Macaca fascicularis: one gene and its partners. The protein of the gene in region 1 interacts with the protein of each later gene in a biochemical or structural test. Links are inferred from orthologs where the notes say so. Each region holds a gene or a part of one and is shown on either strand. Other genes may lie near its edges.

Region 1 (4,082 bases):
CAGGTAGTGAATTATTCCATAGGATTCTTTTTTTTTTCTTTTTCTTTTTTTTTTTTTTTTTTTTTTTTTCATTTTTCCATTTTTCTCCATAGGATTCTTGACAGGTTTCAATCACACACCTTCCCATGGGTAACCCACCCCTTCTCTTCAGCAGTAAACTAACGACTACCTACCAGTGAACATCACAGGTATAAACCACCTTTCTTTTTTTCTTTTAAGGAATTAGTATGCAAACTTTAGTACTCCTTTCCTAGTAACAAATGACTGCTGTATCAGACTGTGTCACAAGGCAGCTGCTTTGACTTATTGCTCTGTAGCTGGGGCCAGCCTCTTCAGAACATTGTTAATGAGAGAAAGGAAGTGCTTTGGGCAGTGTCTGGCCCATCAGGCCCTCTGTAAATGTTTGCTATTAATGCAAAGACCAAGTCTCCCACAGTGTCCAATTTGTTTCCTTGTAAATTTTTCAAGGTACTGCAATGCTGGGATCCCAGTGAACATAATCTGGCGTAGAAGTGGGTATCCACTGACCGAGCCTAATCTTACATCTTGGATTTGTAAGTGGCATTTATTGAGTTGAACATGAGCTTAAGCACGCGGTCACACATTCTTTCAGCGAACACTGGTCAGGCACCTGCTACGTGCAAGCACTGCCCTACATGCTGGGATGCAGCTGTAGCAGGAATGAAATAACGCCAGCATTCCTGCATGCGGCCAGTGCGTGCCCTGTACAGAAAGGTACACGAGATAGGCATCCTTACATCCATTGTCCTGGGAGGAAACTGAGGCTTTGAGAAACGGAGAATCTGCCGGGCCCGTTGACTCCATGTCATCCCCTTCCACATCAATGCCCTGAACAGCCTCCTGTACACCCTTAAGGAACTTACTTCGTAATGATTACTAAGAACTCAACGAGACCCCGAGCATCACCTCGGCATATCGCGCGCGTCCTTTCTCTAGAGAACCCCAAATGTTGGAAGGCATCAGAGCGCACCTCCTCCGCTCCCGGGAGCACCCCCTTCCTGACACCTTGGGGATGGGTCGGAAGGAAAGGAAAGGAGACGCGAGAGGTATCGTCGATGTGCCTGCGAAGCCCAGGCTCCTCCGGAGATCGTTCCGTCCGTCCCTACAGTAGAAGGCTGGCCCAGGCTGTTCCACTCCCCGGAGCTGCCGACTGAGTCGCCAGGTTTCTGTGCCTTCAAAGCCCTGCGCGACGGCCACACCAAACACCCAAACCTTGGGCAGGGACCAAACGGTCACTTCCCCGCCCTCCGGGCTCAATATGCAAATCCGAGCACCAGGAAGTAGCTGGGACCTCTCGACCGAGCCCAGAGACAGCCAGTTCCTCTCCCGCCGCGCCGGGCCGCGCTGCCGCTCGCTCCCCGGCCGTGGCGCCTCCGGGCCCGACGCGCTGCAGCCTCCAGCCCGCGGCAAGCGGGGCGGCCGCGCCAACCCCGGCCCCGCGCCAGCAGCCCCTCGCCGCGCGTCCCGCGTTCCCGGCCAGCAGCCTCCCCCTACGCAGGTCCTGCTGGGCCGCCCCGTCGCGCCCCCTGCTCTGAACTCAAGTCACCGTGGAGCTCCGCCACCCCGAAACTTTCACCGCGAGCGGGTGAGTCCTCTGCGCGAACCCAAGTGTGGGCGCGGGCGCGCGGGCACGCGGGCCGGGGGTGCAGGGACCGCGGCTGTGCCACTAGCCAGAGTCCCGGGCGCAGGGTCGACTCGGGGCCAGGGGCATCGGCGCGGCCCGCGGCGGCTTCCTGGCCGCACAGCCTCCGGGCCTCGGCGGCGAAGGCTCTCAGATGTCTTCAGCCGGCGGGCGACCGGCCCCGGGGGAGCCAGGGTGCGGGGACCGAGGCTCCGCAGGTGTCAGCGGCTGAGCCGCGCAGGGGAGCGGTGGGAGGTGCGGGCGCGGGGGCGGGCTCACCGCGGGTCCTTCCCGGCGAGGGCCCGAGGGCCGGCTGCTGTCCCCGCTCCGGCCGCTCAGCGCGCACGGCGGCGAAGCCCGTGCCCTTGCGGAGCGGGCGCGCGGCAGGGATACTGGAGACAACTCCTCGGATTGTGCGATCTGGTCTCCCCTCTGGACCCTGGGTCCCCTGGAAGTGGGAGATGGGGCTCCGCCGGCGCCCTCTCGAGGCCCGCGGACAGCTGCCCTCCCTGGTGGCCCGGGGCAGGAGCGTGACGTCGAGGGTCTGCGGCGGAGGCTGGAGCTCACCCTCCCGCTGCGGCGCCTTTCGGCCTGCGGAGGAGCAGTCCGGTGCTTTTGCCGGCTGAGAGGAAGCGAGAGTTATTTTAAGAATTCAGGGGTTGCCTTTCCTTCGCCTTGGGGGAAGGGCGTAAGAGTCACTTCCCACTTTCCTGCTTTCTCTGGGCCCATGGTGGCATCTTTTGCTTGCGGTGCATTCGTAACTTTCCAACAGCCTGCCTGTCGTGTGAACTAGTGGTTGTATCTTCATTTCTTTGTATAACCGTGTGTGTTAATTATCCCAAATTCGCCCTTCTTCGCCGGCTCAGAATCCAGGCCTTGCACTTTTCTGGCTGTATATTTAGGGGACCGATTATTGAAATTCCCTGTTTGGGTTTCTTCATCTTTGAGAAAGCATATATACCTCAGGGACTGTTTAGTACACACAGAGCCCCTAGTACATACCAAACATTTCATAAACGATGTTACTGTTATTTATTGCAGTGACTTCTATTCATATAAACGAGGCTTCTTGGTTCTTTGCAGCCTGGTGATATTGAACCTAAGACTACCATGTCTGATTTAGCCATCTGACCTTATTAGTAAATCTGCTTAATAAATACATGAGGGATTTGCTGTCCCAAAGCAGGGCCCAGTAGTCTGACTTGCCCTAAAGAACTAGCCAATAAACTGGTGGGCTACAGGGATGTTTTCTCTCTACAGCCAACACCTAAAGCCATGCCCTGGGGAATAGGCACTGCAAGAGCCTAGACCTTACTAAGCCCTTCTCTGTAAGAGTAAGCTTTGTTGGGAAAGGGTGGGATCCAGTTAGTCCCTCCATTCTCATTTGGAGGTAAGCAGGTAAGTGCTTTCAGGCCTGAAGAAATTTCATTAGATCATAGAGTCTTTGGTGACTGGGTCTCTTTGGATGTAAATGTGTGGCCCTTTTGCTGAGTGAAGGATAGAGGGCAGCAGATGTAAGGGGAGAGAAAATAGGAGCGAGGAAACTTGGGTTTTGGCCTCTTCCATCATTTAATATGCTGTGATTTGGGATAAACCACTTGGGTCATTTATTTAGCCAACATTTCCTTTATAGCAGCAGTCAGAGTTATATTGATTTGTCTGCAGGTTGATAGTCTGTATTCACTATTACAGTGGAAGCTCCATGAAAACCGCTTCATCTGTCTTGTCCAAAATGATAGCCCCAGTGCCTGGTACATAGTAGGTGCTCAGTTCGAGATTAGTTGGAAGAAGGAATGAAGGGCTCCTGTGAGCTTGCCCTATGTAAAACTGAGGACATAGGGAGATGAAGAAATAGAGCTGGTCCCTAAAGTGTTTGAAGCCTACTGGCCCTTTCTGTTGTGGTTTCTAAAACGGGGATTTGAGAGGCTTTGTTGATTGTAAAGTTACCCAGCACTGAGTTATCCACATTTAGTGTTCTAAATGAGTCTCCACTCAGCACCGCTCTTCTCTACTTATCACTGGAAGAGAAGTCTTGATGTGGGGTGGTTAAGATGTTTCCTGCAAAGGTAGTTGGCCCAATCCAGAAGGCCCACATTATTTTAGAGTCATTGGTGTTACCAAGGTAGGTGGAAACTTTGTAATCCCGCCCCGGCCCCACCCCTCCAATAGCTTTCTTTTAGCAGAAAAGTGGTCCAGCACTGTTCAATGACTTTGAAAGCCTTTTACTTCTATCTGTAGTATTTGTTTTTAGAAATAAATCACCAAAAACAGCTGAGATTCCAGTTGGTTCACATGACTATGTGGAGTTGTAACTTAACAAAATTAAATCATATTATTCATGTACAAACCCATACTAACTTTATAAATAAGGATACAATGTATACATGCCCACAGCAGGGAACGTCGTTATAAGCTCACTCCTACTGATGATCTCAGTGAT
Region 2 (4,119 bases), on another chromosome or scaffold:
TTCAACATTAAATGGAGTGGGGCAGCTGGGCAACTATAAATTTTGGATGATACTTCAGAGAAGAGTCTAGGTGTATCTGTTCTATCCCTTTTTCTCATGGGCATCTGCCACTTATTTTCCATTCTTAAGCTCTCAGGAGGGATGTCTTTTTAGTTTATCAGAATCCATAGGGAAAGCTCATCTTTCTTGGAGTAGGTCTTCAAATAAGGGTTCAAGCCCTGGGTCTTCCCTCACTACAATAATAAACATACCTGCTCTACCCTCCTCACAAAGCTGTTATGGTGAGCATGAAAAGAAGAGTCGGTGTGGGGAAGAACTATTAACCCCTATACAGATACCGTGTTGCTTTCCGTTCAAGGATCCACCATGAGACTGTGGATAAAGCACTTTCCGGGCAGTGAAATCTGGCTTAAGAGAATCATTGTACTTTTATTCTGCTCCTGGGACCGGCAAGGGCAGTTAAGAGGGACACAGGGATCCCTAGCCCTAAAACTGTCGTCTGATACAGAGGCAGATAAATCATTACTGGGGTTGGCAGCGTTGGGGGGAGAGGGGGAAATGTGTATGAAAACCTGGGCTCCCAGAGCAAACTTTGCAACGCGCCCCTCCCCACTTCACCGCCCCAATCTCCACACAAGTCCCGGCAGGGGCTTCTTGGGCGGAGGCCACGCCGACCAATAGGAACCCACTGTATTCTTACAGGTTACGAAGCAGGTGGAGAAACTGAGCAGAAACAATTAGCTAAGCCGGGCTCAGCCTTTACCGCGGTGCCACGCGCTCCTAACAGGCCTGGAGGGTAATGTCGGGGCTCAATTTCCTAACGCTCCCCTCCCCATCCCCGTGTCACCTCCACCAGCAGCGGCGTCCAGCCTCCTCCCGCCCGAACGTGCTCGAGGGACGGGCAGCCGTCCTTTATTGTCTGGGGAGCACCTGGCAGGTGGCGGGCCCGTGCCCTAACGTGCGCGTGGTGCCCAGCTTCACAAAGCGAGCGGGCAGCACCTCTTTGGTCCGGGAACGGCCTCGGGCGGGCCGACCACATCCCAGGGGTGGAGAGGTGGAGAGAGAAAGGGGCTCCGGGGTCAAGAGCTGGGAGCTAGGGCGCGCGCGCGCCCTCCTCCTCCCCGCGGGCACAGCCCCCCGGCATTAACACGTCGAAAGAGCAGGGGCCAGACGCCGCCGGGAAGGAGCGAGACCCGGGCGGGCGCGAGGGAGGGGAGGCGAGGAGGGGCGTGGCCGGCGCGCAGAGGGAGGGCGCTGGGAGGAGGGGCTGCTGCTCGGCGCTCACGGCTCTGGGGGCTCGGCTTTGCCGCGCTCGCTGCACTTGGGCGAGAGCTGGAACGTGGACCAGAGCTCGGATCCCAGCGCAGCCACCGCGATGAGAGGCGCTCGCGGCGCCTGGGATTTTCTCTGCGTTCTGCTCTTCCTGCTCCACGTCCAGACAGGTGGGTCACCGCGGCTGGCACCCCGACCGTGCGACTCCTCGGCGAAGCCTGTGCCCGGGAGGGTGGTACACGCCGGAGTGCATCCGGAGAGAGGACTGCGGGCCCTCAGTGCCTGTGCGTTCCAGTCTCCGGGGGAGACTCCAGGTGTCCCTCGGACTCTCCTGCGCCTTGCCTCGCTCACCTGCGCGAGGAGACCCCAGCTGCTAGTGGTGGGGACGCGAAGCCGGGGTTCCTCGGGAATGGGGACAGCGAGGGGAGGTTAGGCGTGAGCGAGGTTGCAGGCTGCGTGCGAGTTTGGGGTGGCTTTTGTGCCGAGGTTGCGCGGGGGGCGGAGGCGAGGGGCTCAGGGGTTCCCACCGAGCGCCTTCTCTCGCTGTGCGAGGCGCGGCCGCAGCTTCCTTTTGTTAAAAGTTGCGTGTGTGTGACCGGTGCCCAGGAGGACCTGCCTGCAGGTTCTCCGCCGCGCGGAGGGCAAAGTTAGAGAGCCCTTTCTCTCCTCTGCGGCTGCTGCCTTCCAACCGCAGGCGCTCTTTGTGCCCAGAGCTGGGGACCGACCCGCTGCCGCCTCTGCTCACGGCGCCACCCGTGGAGACGAATCGAAGCCTGCGGATTTCCCCGCCTCCGGGTTAGGGTTTTGCTCTGGGAGTGCGCGGCGTGTGGCTGTGGGGCCGGACTCCCGCGAGCCTGGAGGTGGTGTGTACGGGGACAACTTGGGCAGGGCGTGTGGAAAGCAGCCGCTAGGTTGCAGACTTTTTGCTTTCGTATATCCTGTGCTCGTCCCTTTCGGCCGCGGCGCCGTTTCATTCCTGCCACGCGCCCCGGGGCGGCTGGAGGCTGCGTTTGCCGCCTGCTCCGGGAAGGCAAGGGACAGCGTGCTGGGACTATGCGTGCCCTGATCCCGGCTGCCTAGCACGCCGGCCAGTGTGCCCGGCCTGCCTGGCGGGCTCTGGAAGCCCGTAGTCCCGGTATCTGCGACCTGTATTCGCAGGTCCTGTTTTCTTCGGAAATTTTTGAGATTAGTGACCGCCCGCCTCCCTGTCCCCGGGGAGGGGACATCTATACTTCAGGGCTGCCTGGGGGTGGGGTGGGAGATGGAGTGGAACTTTCTGCAAATCCTACTCAGTTCTTAAAGCTATAACAAAAAACCAGATATATCCGCGCGGGAACTTGGGTCTTAGGTGAAGGATTTGCCGGCTGCTGGAGCCCCTCGGTCAGATTTCTGCCTCTCGTTCCCTTTTTTCCAGGTGTCGCTGGTGCGCGCGAGTGCAGGTCGCCCAGCTCACTCCTGAAGCACTGCTCTCTCCCAGGTCATTTTTAAAACAAACCTTTAAGGTTACCTTGATGGTGTAAGGATAGAAAGTGAGTCTTAGCTGGAATCAAGCGCTTGAAAGGAAGCGGCGCAATGAACGGTTGTGAGACTGTCTACTACTGGTCAGTTTCTCTATAAAGTCTCCAGGCGCAGTCTCCCGCGTCCTGGTCTTGTAACTATTGTGAGGGCTTTCCTGTGGGGGCAGAGAGGCCTTGCATCTGGACCCCTGTGCAGCAGGAGGGGTCAGCAGGGGTCACGAGGGAGTGTTCAGATTCCCTGGAGGATTTGATCACCTAGCTTAAAACAACACATCTGGTCTTTATGTTTTTGTGCCTTGACCTTTTTAATATCAGTTAAGGTATGTGAACTAGACCCCAGTAGGAGACTAGAAAGACCACATCGAATATCTCCCTTTTACAAAATTAAAAGAATCAATGGTTTTCTTCTTCCCAAAAGATTTTTGGCAAAGGGAATTTTAAGTCTGTCTCCTGGGGGGGCAGTGTGGTGTAACGACAAAGCCTTGATCTGTCCCCTGGGTTCTCCTTTTCTCTGCCATTTCTTGGCTGCGTGCCCTTGGGCAGGTTGCTTAAGGCAGGTTGCTTAAATTCTGGGGAACCCAGTGTCCTCCAGAGTACAAGGAGGCATCTGCATCATGAAGGATCCTTTGGGTCCAGAATTTTCCAATGTGCTGAGTGTAGACTCAGCACTCTTTTCAACTATTCCCCTGGTCCCTGTCTGCCACCTTGAAATTCCTCTGCCTCTCCTGCTCACGGGGACCTCATGGAGTATGGGTGCATCTGACCGTCTGCCCCTGGCTGCAGCAAGGAGCTGTGGCTTATGCTTCCCACCCCTCAATTCCCATATATTTCTCTGTATTGCCCTTTGAGGGCTAGGAGGTGCCCACTTTGTCCTAACCGTCATTCTTCTCCCCCACCACCACCCCATTATTACAGCTCCTGTGCCTAACAGGATGAAGCTGCAAGGAATGGTGAATCATACCTTCCCCGCTTCATTCCTGCAGGTGTGAGGCTGGAGTCATTCTCAGCAGCTGGACGCAAGGCAGTCTAAATTATTTTCCTGCTGGAAATATCCCAAATAAATATCCCAGATAATTCATTTATCCCTATTCTGTTTTTTCCCCCACTCATCCCCATATTTTTTCCTCATGACTCTCTAAATCATGTATGCTGTGCATTTATAACATGCTTTCTAATGGGCCTTAAATTTTGTATGACATGTGTGTTATACATAGTTGTTGCTCTTCAGTTGGAAACTGTGTGCCAGGCCTGTTGCTTGGGGCTTTACCTGCTATTTCCGCTAGTCTCAATGAGCCTAGGAAGTAGTATTATTATTACCCCTAACATTTTA
Region 3 (4,095 bases), on another chromosome or scaffold:
ATTTAACTGGGCACCATGTATTTAATCTGGCAACCATAACAGGGACAGGACACAGAAATATCGGCAAGGACCAGGCAGGCCTTTCAGATGGTGAGGTGATGTGTGAGACACAGGCCGCTGGCGGAGGCTGGGTGACCCAGAACACCTGTCGCTCATTCTCAGGAGCAGCTGCTACCTACTTCCCACTGATTGGGTTTGCAGAGATGGCCTCGAGGGTGTCTGATATTCTGATATTGCAAAACAGAACAAAAATATGTATTTTAATGTGTATTTAAAATGTATATATATTAAAATATTTTTAATATTGATATTAAAAGTGGTCAATTGGGCTGAGTGCAGTGGCTCATGACTGTAATTCCAGCACTTTGGGAAACTGAGGTGGGAGGATGTCTTGAAGCTAGGAGTTTGAGACAAGCCTGGGCAACATAGCGAGTCCCCATCTCTACAAAAATAAATAAATAAATAAATTAGTCAGGTGTAGTGACTCATGCCTATAATCCCAGCTACTTAGGAGGCCAAGGCAAGAGGATTGCTTGAGCCCAGGAGTTTGAGGCTGCAGTTAACTATGATAGCACCACTCCACTCCAGCTTGGGTGACAGAGTGAGACTCTGTCTCTATTTAAATAAATACGTAAATAAATAAGCTGGGCAAACAATGAAAATGAAAACATTGTGAAATACAAAGCAGTTCTGTGGGTTCCACTGTTTGCAGCCTCTGATCTAATTTCTAAAGAGGGTGTAGCAGGTTTTTTAACCTGTAAATTATGGTGATTGGCAGGTCAGGGTAAATGGTAGTTGTGTGTGGGGAAGCGATGATGGCAACAGGTGTTTTCCTCCTGCAAAAACTAAAATGTGGGAGTGACTTCTCTGGCCATGGCTCCATGGTCTCTCCCCTCAGAGCCAATTTCAGTAAAATTTTTATAGTTTAAAAAATATGGTTCTGAACAATTTTTGTTAGAGGTATTTTGGTATTTTTAAATAGTTTTTTGGTCGTATACATGGTAGAATTCTTAACATTATACAATTATAATGTATAAAAAAGGATACAATTATAATTCATAAAATTATAGCCCCACTGGCCATTCTCCTGTAGCTGGGAGCAGTTCACGCCAACAGGGCTCTACCCCAATGCTGACCTGCTCTACAGGATCCCAGGAAGGTGAGCATAGCCTACCAACCTGTTTGGGTAGTACAGCGATAGCAACTGAGGCTTCCAAGGCTTTCGTCAGAAGATTGTGGGCGGAAACTTCCAGGGGTTTGCTCTGAGCTTCTTGAGGCTTCTCAGCTTCAGCTGCAAAGTGAGTGGGTGTTTCTTTGAGAAGCAGAATCAGAGAGAGACATAGAGAAAGAGAAAGACAGAGGTGTTTCCCTTAGCTATGGAAACTCTATAAGAGAGATCCAGCTTGCCTCCTCTTGAGCAGTCAGCAACAGGAGTCCTGTCCTTGACACCTCAGCCTCTACAGGATTGAGAAGTAAAACCGTTTGCTGGGGCTGGCCTGACTCACCGGCTGCCATGCAGCAGCCCTTCAATTACCCATATCCCCAGATCTACTGGGTGGACAGCAGTGCCAGCTCTCCCTGGGCCCCTCCAGGCACAGTTCTTCCCTGTCCAACCTCTGTGCCCAGAAGGCCTGGTCAAAGGAGGCCACCACCACCGCCGCCACCGCCGCCACTACCACCTCCACCGCCATCACCACTGCCTCCACTACCGCTGCCACCCTTGAAGAAGAGGGGAAACCACAGCACAGGCCTTTGTCTCCTTGTGATGTTTTTCATGGTTCTGGTTGCCTTGGTAGGATTGGGACTGGGGATGTTTCAGCTCTTCCACTTACAGAAAGAGCTGGCAGAACTCCGAGAGGTAAGCCTGCTGGCAGACTGCTGTGCCCTGGAGGCACCAGGCATAAGGGGGTGGAGGGCCCACTGCCTGGCTTGCAAAGTGCTTTTCAATCCTTTTTTTTTTTTCTTAGAAATGGGTTGTTCTAGTTATTCTATTCTATAGGCAGAGAAATGGAGGCTCATAGGAGTGAAGGGAATATTTTTTATTTTGTAAAGAATCAGAGCCCAACAGTTTTTCTTTCCTCAGTTGTCAACTCAGTCTGTTGAACCACTTACTGCCTCATACCTAGTGATTTAAGGAGTAAAAAACAAACAAAACTTTTAAGTTTTGCTTGGAAGTAAATTTGTTCAGATGACCAAACTAAATCTTGAAAATACTTAAAATACTGGTACGATTTCAAATCACAAAACTGAGGGACAGTGAAGCAAAATTGCTTGACCAAAGCCTGAGTCAGCAAAAGTTCTGAGGTATTTGGATTCTCTTTCCAGGGCTTGGTTTATTTGACGATTCTGTCTCTTTTGCTTAAATAATTTTATTTTTATTATGCATCTTTTTTCTTTCTCTTTTACTAGTCTACCAGCCAGAAGCATACAGCATCATCTTTGGAGAAGCAAATAGGTGAGTCCTTTTTCACATGTACATTGAGTTCCTAAAGGTGATCCTCAGCACTGAAATATGTTAATGGAATGCCTTATATTCTGTCCTACACTTTGGCTTATGTATACTATGAGAGGAATCCTGGCTAATTCGGAATCTCTGGTCAGTATGATTCCTTGAGCTGCTTTAAAAATGTGAAGTGAATTGAATTGCTCACAATCAATATAGCTGAGCACGGCACACAATTCAAAATCACTTCCGCTTGACTTTGGAAAGAGACACACATATACAACCGTGGACTTTTGCCCCCTGAGCAGTGGTTCCAGGCCTGTCCCCTTCCACAGACACCCTGGTCCTGGCACACATGCCAGTGGCTATGACTTCTGGGAAGAGAAGGCGAAGTGAAGGCAGAGACAGATGTTTCTGAGAAACGTCCTCTCCTCTTTTAAAGCCTCTAAAGAGATCACAGTGAAACTTTATTTATAAAATGTTTTATAGGATGTAAGCTTTTAAAATGTGGCTAATCAATTCCGTACATTAGAATGGTTTTTCTTGAAGTCACTGAGAAGCTGAAGGGAAGACTTCAGCCATCATTCAAAGGATGTTCAGCTTCAGAGGCAGTCATGAGGTACCCTTGATCACAAAGGAAAATCCTTTGTATGGGAGCTAGGGCAAGAAGACGATATGTTGGAACACTGATCTCGTGAAATTTCAGGGCATAGTTTTGCAAGCTCTGTACAGATGGATTTTACAATGTGCTTCACTAGCCTAAGATTCATTGAAATTTTAGATTTAGATTTACAATGAGATTCACTGAAGGTTTAGAGTTGGAAGGAAGCTTAGAATATCTAGTCCAGCCATTTCATTTTTTTGGAAGAGAAACAAAATGCCAGACAGATTAGGTGAATATGCCCAAGACCCCTAGTATGGAACTGGGGCTAGAAGGAACACAGGCTCTTGATGCCTTGTCACCTACAGGGCTTTCCGGTACTGGACTGGTGCCTCATGAAGTAGGGAAACTCCTGTCTCTCTGTAGTGAGCATGGAGTGAGAAATAGAGGAAAAGCAGGATACCTCTGCAAAGACTATAGATAGATCGCATCCTTAGAAACTCAGAATAAAGAAGAAGGCAGCACTGGCCATCTATTAAGTGAAGTAAGTTTCAGTTTCTCTGGATGTGGCTACTGCAGGCAACCCAGTCGCCTGTCTACTGTCCTAGACTGTTAAGTTCTTATAGGAGCCACTGTTGGGAAGCTCTGGCCCCTGAGTCTGTGTCCTAATCCTTAAATGTTAGAAAGTCCATATGTACACAAGCAGAGTGGAAATATTTGCTAGAAAAATAAAGCCTCTGGAGGATGTCTCAAATAAGATCATTTTGAAAACCTGTGGAATGTGCCTGGTCTGATAGGTACCTAAGCATTCATCTTTTACCTCCTCTCTGGAGTCAATTTAGTGATTAAAAATCAAATGACCAGACGAGTCATGTCCATCTACCCCAGTAAGCAATTATCTTCTCTAGATCAACCCAGATGAACCAGAAATTGTTAAATTATCACAAGGAAATCAAATCAGTAACTTTACTAATAAGAAAAGAGATGCAAACTAAAAATAGGGAACACCAATTTTCATCAAATTAGTAAAGTTAACAAAAACCCAGACTGA

Evidence for each region. The genes of interacting proteins can lie anywhere in the genome.
Region 2: the proteins of LYN (region 1) and KIT form a complex in vitro, tested with the Homo sapiens proteins (2 studies listed by BioGRID and IntAct, with this or other methods). The link is inferred for Macaca fascicularis from reciprocal best matches to the Homo sapiens genes LYN and KIT.
Region 3: the proteins of LYN (region 1) and FASLG form a complex in vitro, tested with the Homo sapiens proteins (2 studies listed by BioGRID, with this or other methods). The link is inferred for Macaca fascicularis from reciprocal best matches to the Homo sapiens genes LYN and FASLG.

What each region holds. Positions count from the first base shown.
Region 1 is NC_088382.1:65,848,371-65,852,452, forward strand, and holds the start of LYN (tyrosine-protein kinase Lyn), read left to right. Parts: upstream 1-1,276; 5' UTR 1,277-1,279; coding exon 1,280-1,606; intron 1,607-4,082. UniProt on the Homo sapiens protein: Non-receptor tyrosine-protein kinase that transmits signals from cell surface receptors and plays an important role in the regulation of innate and adaptive immune responses, hematopoiesis, responses to growth factors and cytokines, integrin signaling, but also responses to DNA damage and genotoxic agents.
Region 2 is NC_088379.1:79,244,424-79,248,542, reverse strand, and holds the start of KIT (mast/stem cell growth factor receptor Kit), read left to right. Parts: upstream 1-1,317; 5' UTR 1,318-1,375; coding exon 1,376-1,442; intron 1,443-4,119. UniProt on the Homo sapiens protein: Tyrosine-protein kinase that acts as a cell-surface receptor for the cytokine KITLG/SCF and plays an essential role in the regulation of cell survival and proliferation, hematopoiesis, stem cell maintenance, gametogenesis, mast cell development, migration and function, and in melanogenesis.
Region 3 is NC_088375.1:30,264,220-30,268,314, forward strand, and holds the start of FASLG (tumor necrosis factor ligand superfamily member 6), read left to right. Parts: upstream 1-1,293; 5' UTR 1,294-1,513; coding exon 1,514-1,858; intron 1,859-2,409; coding exon 2,410-2,455; intron 2,456-4,095. UniProt on the Homo sapiens protein: Cytokine that binds to TNFRSF6/FAS, a receptor that transduces the apoptotic signal into cells. Involved in cytotoxic T-cell-mediated apoptosis, natural killer cell-mediated apoptosis and in T-cell development.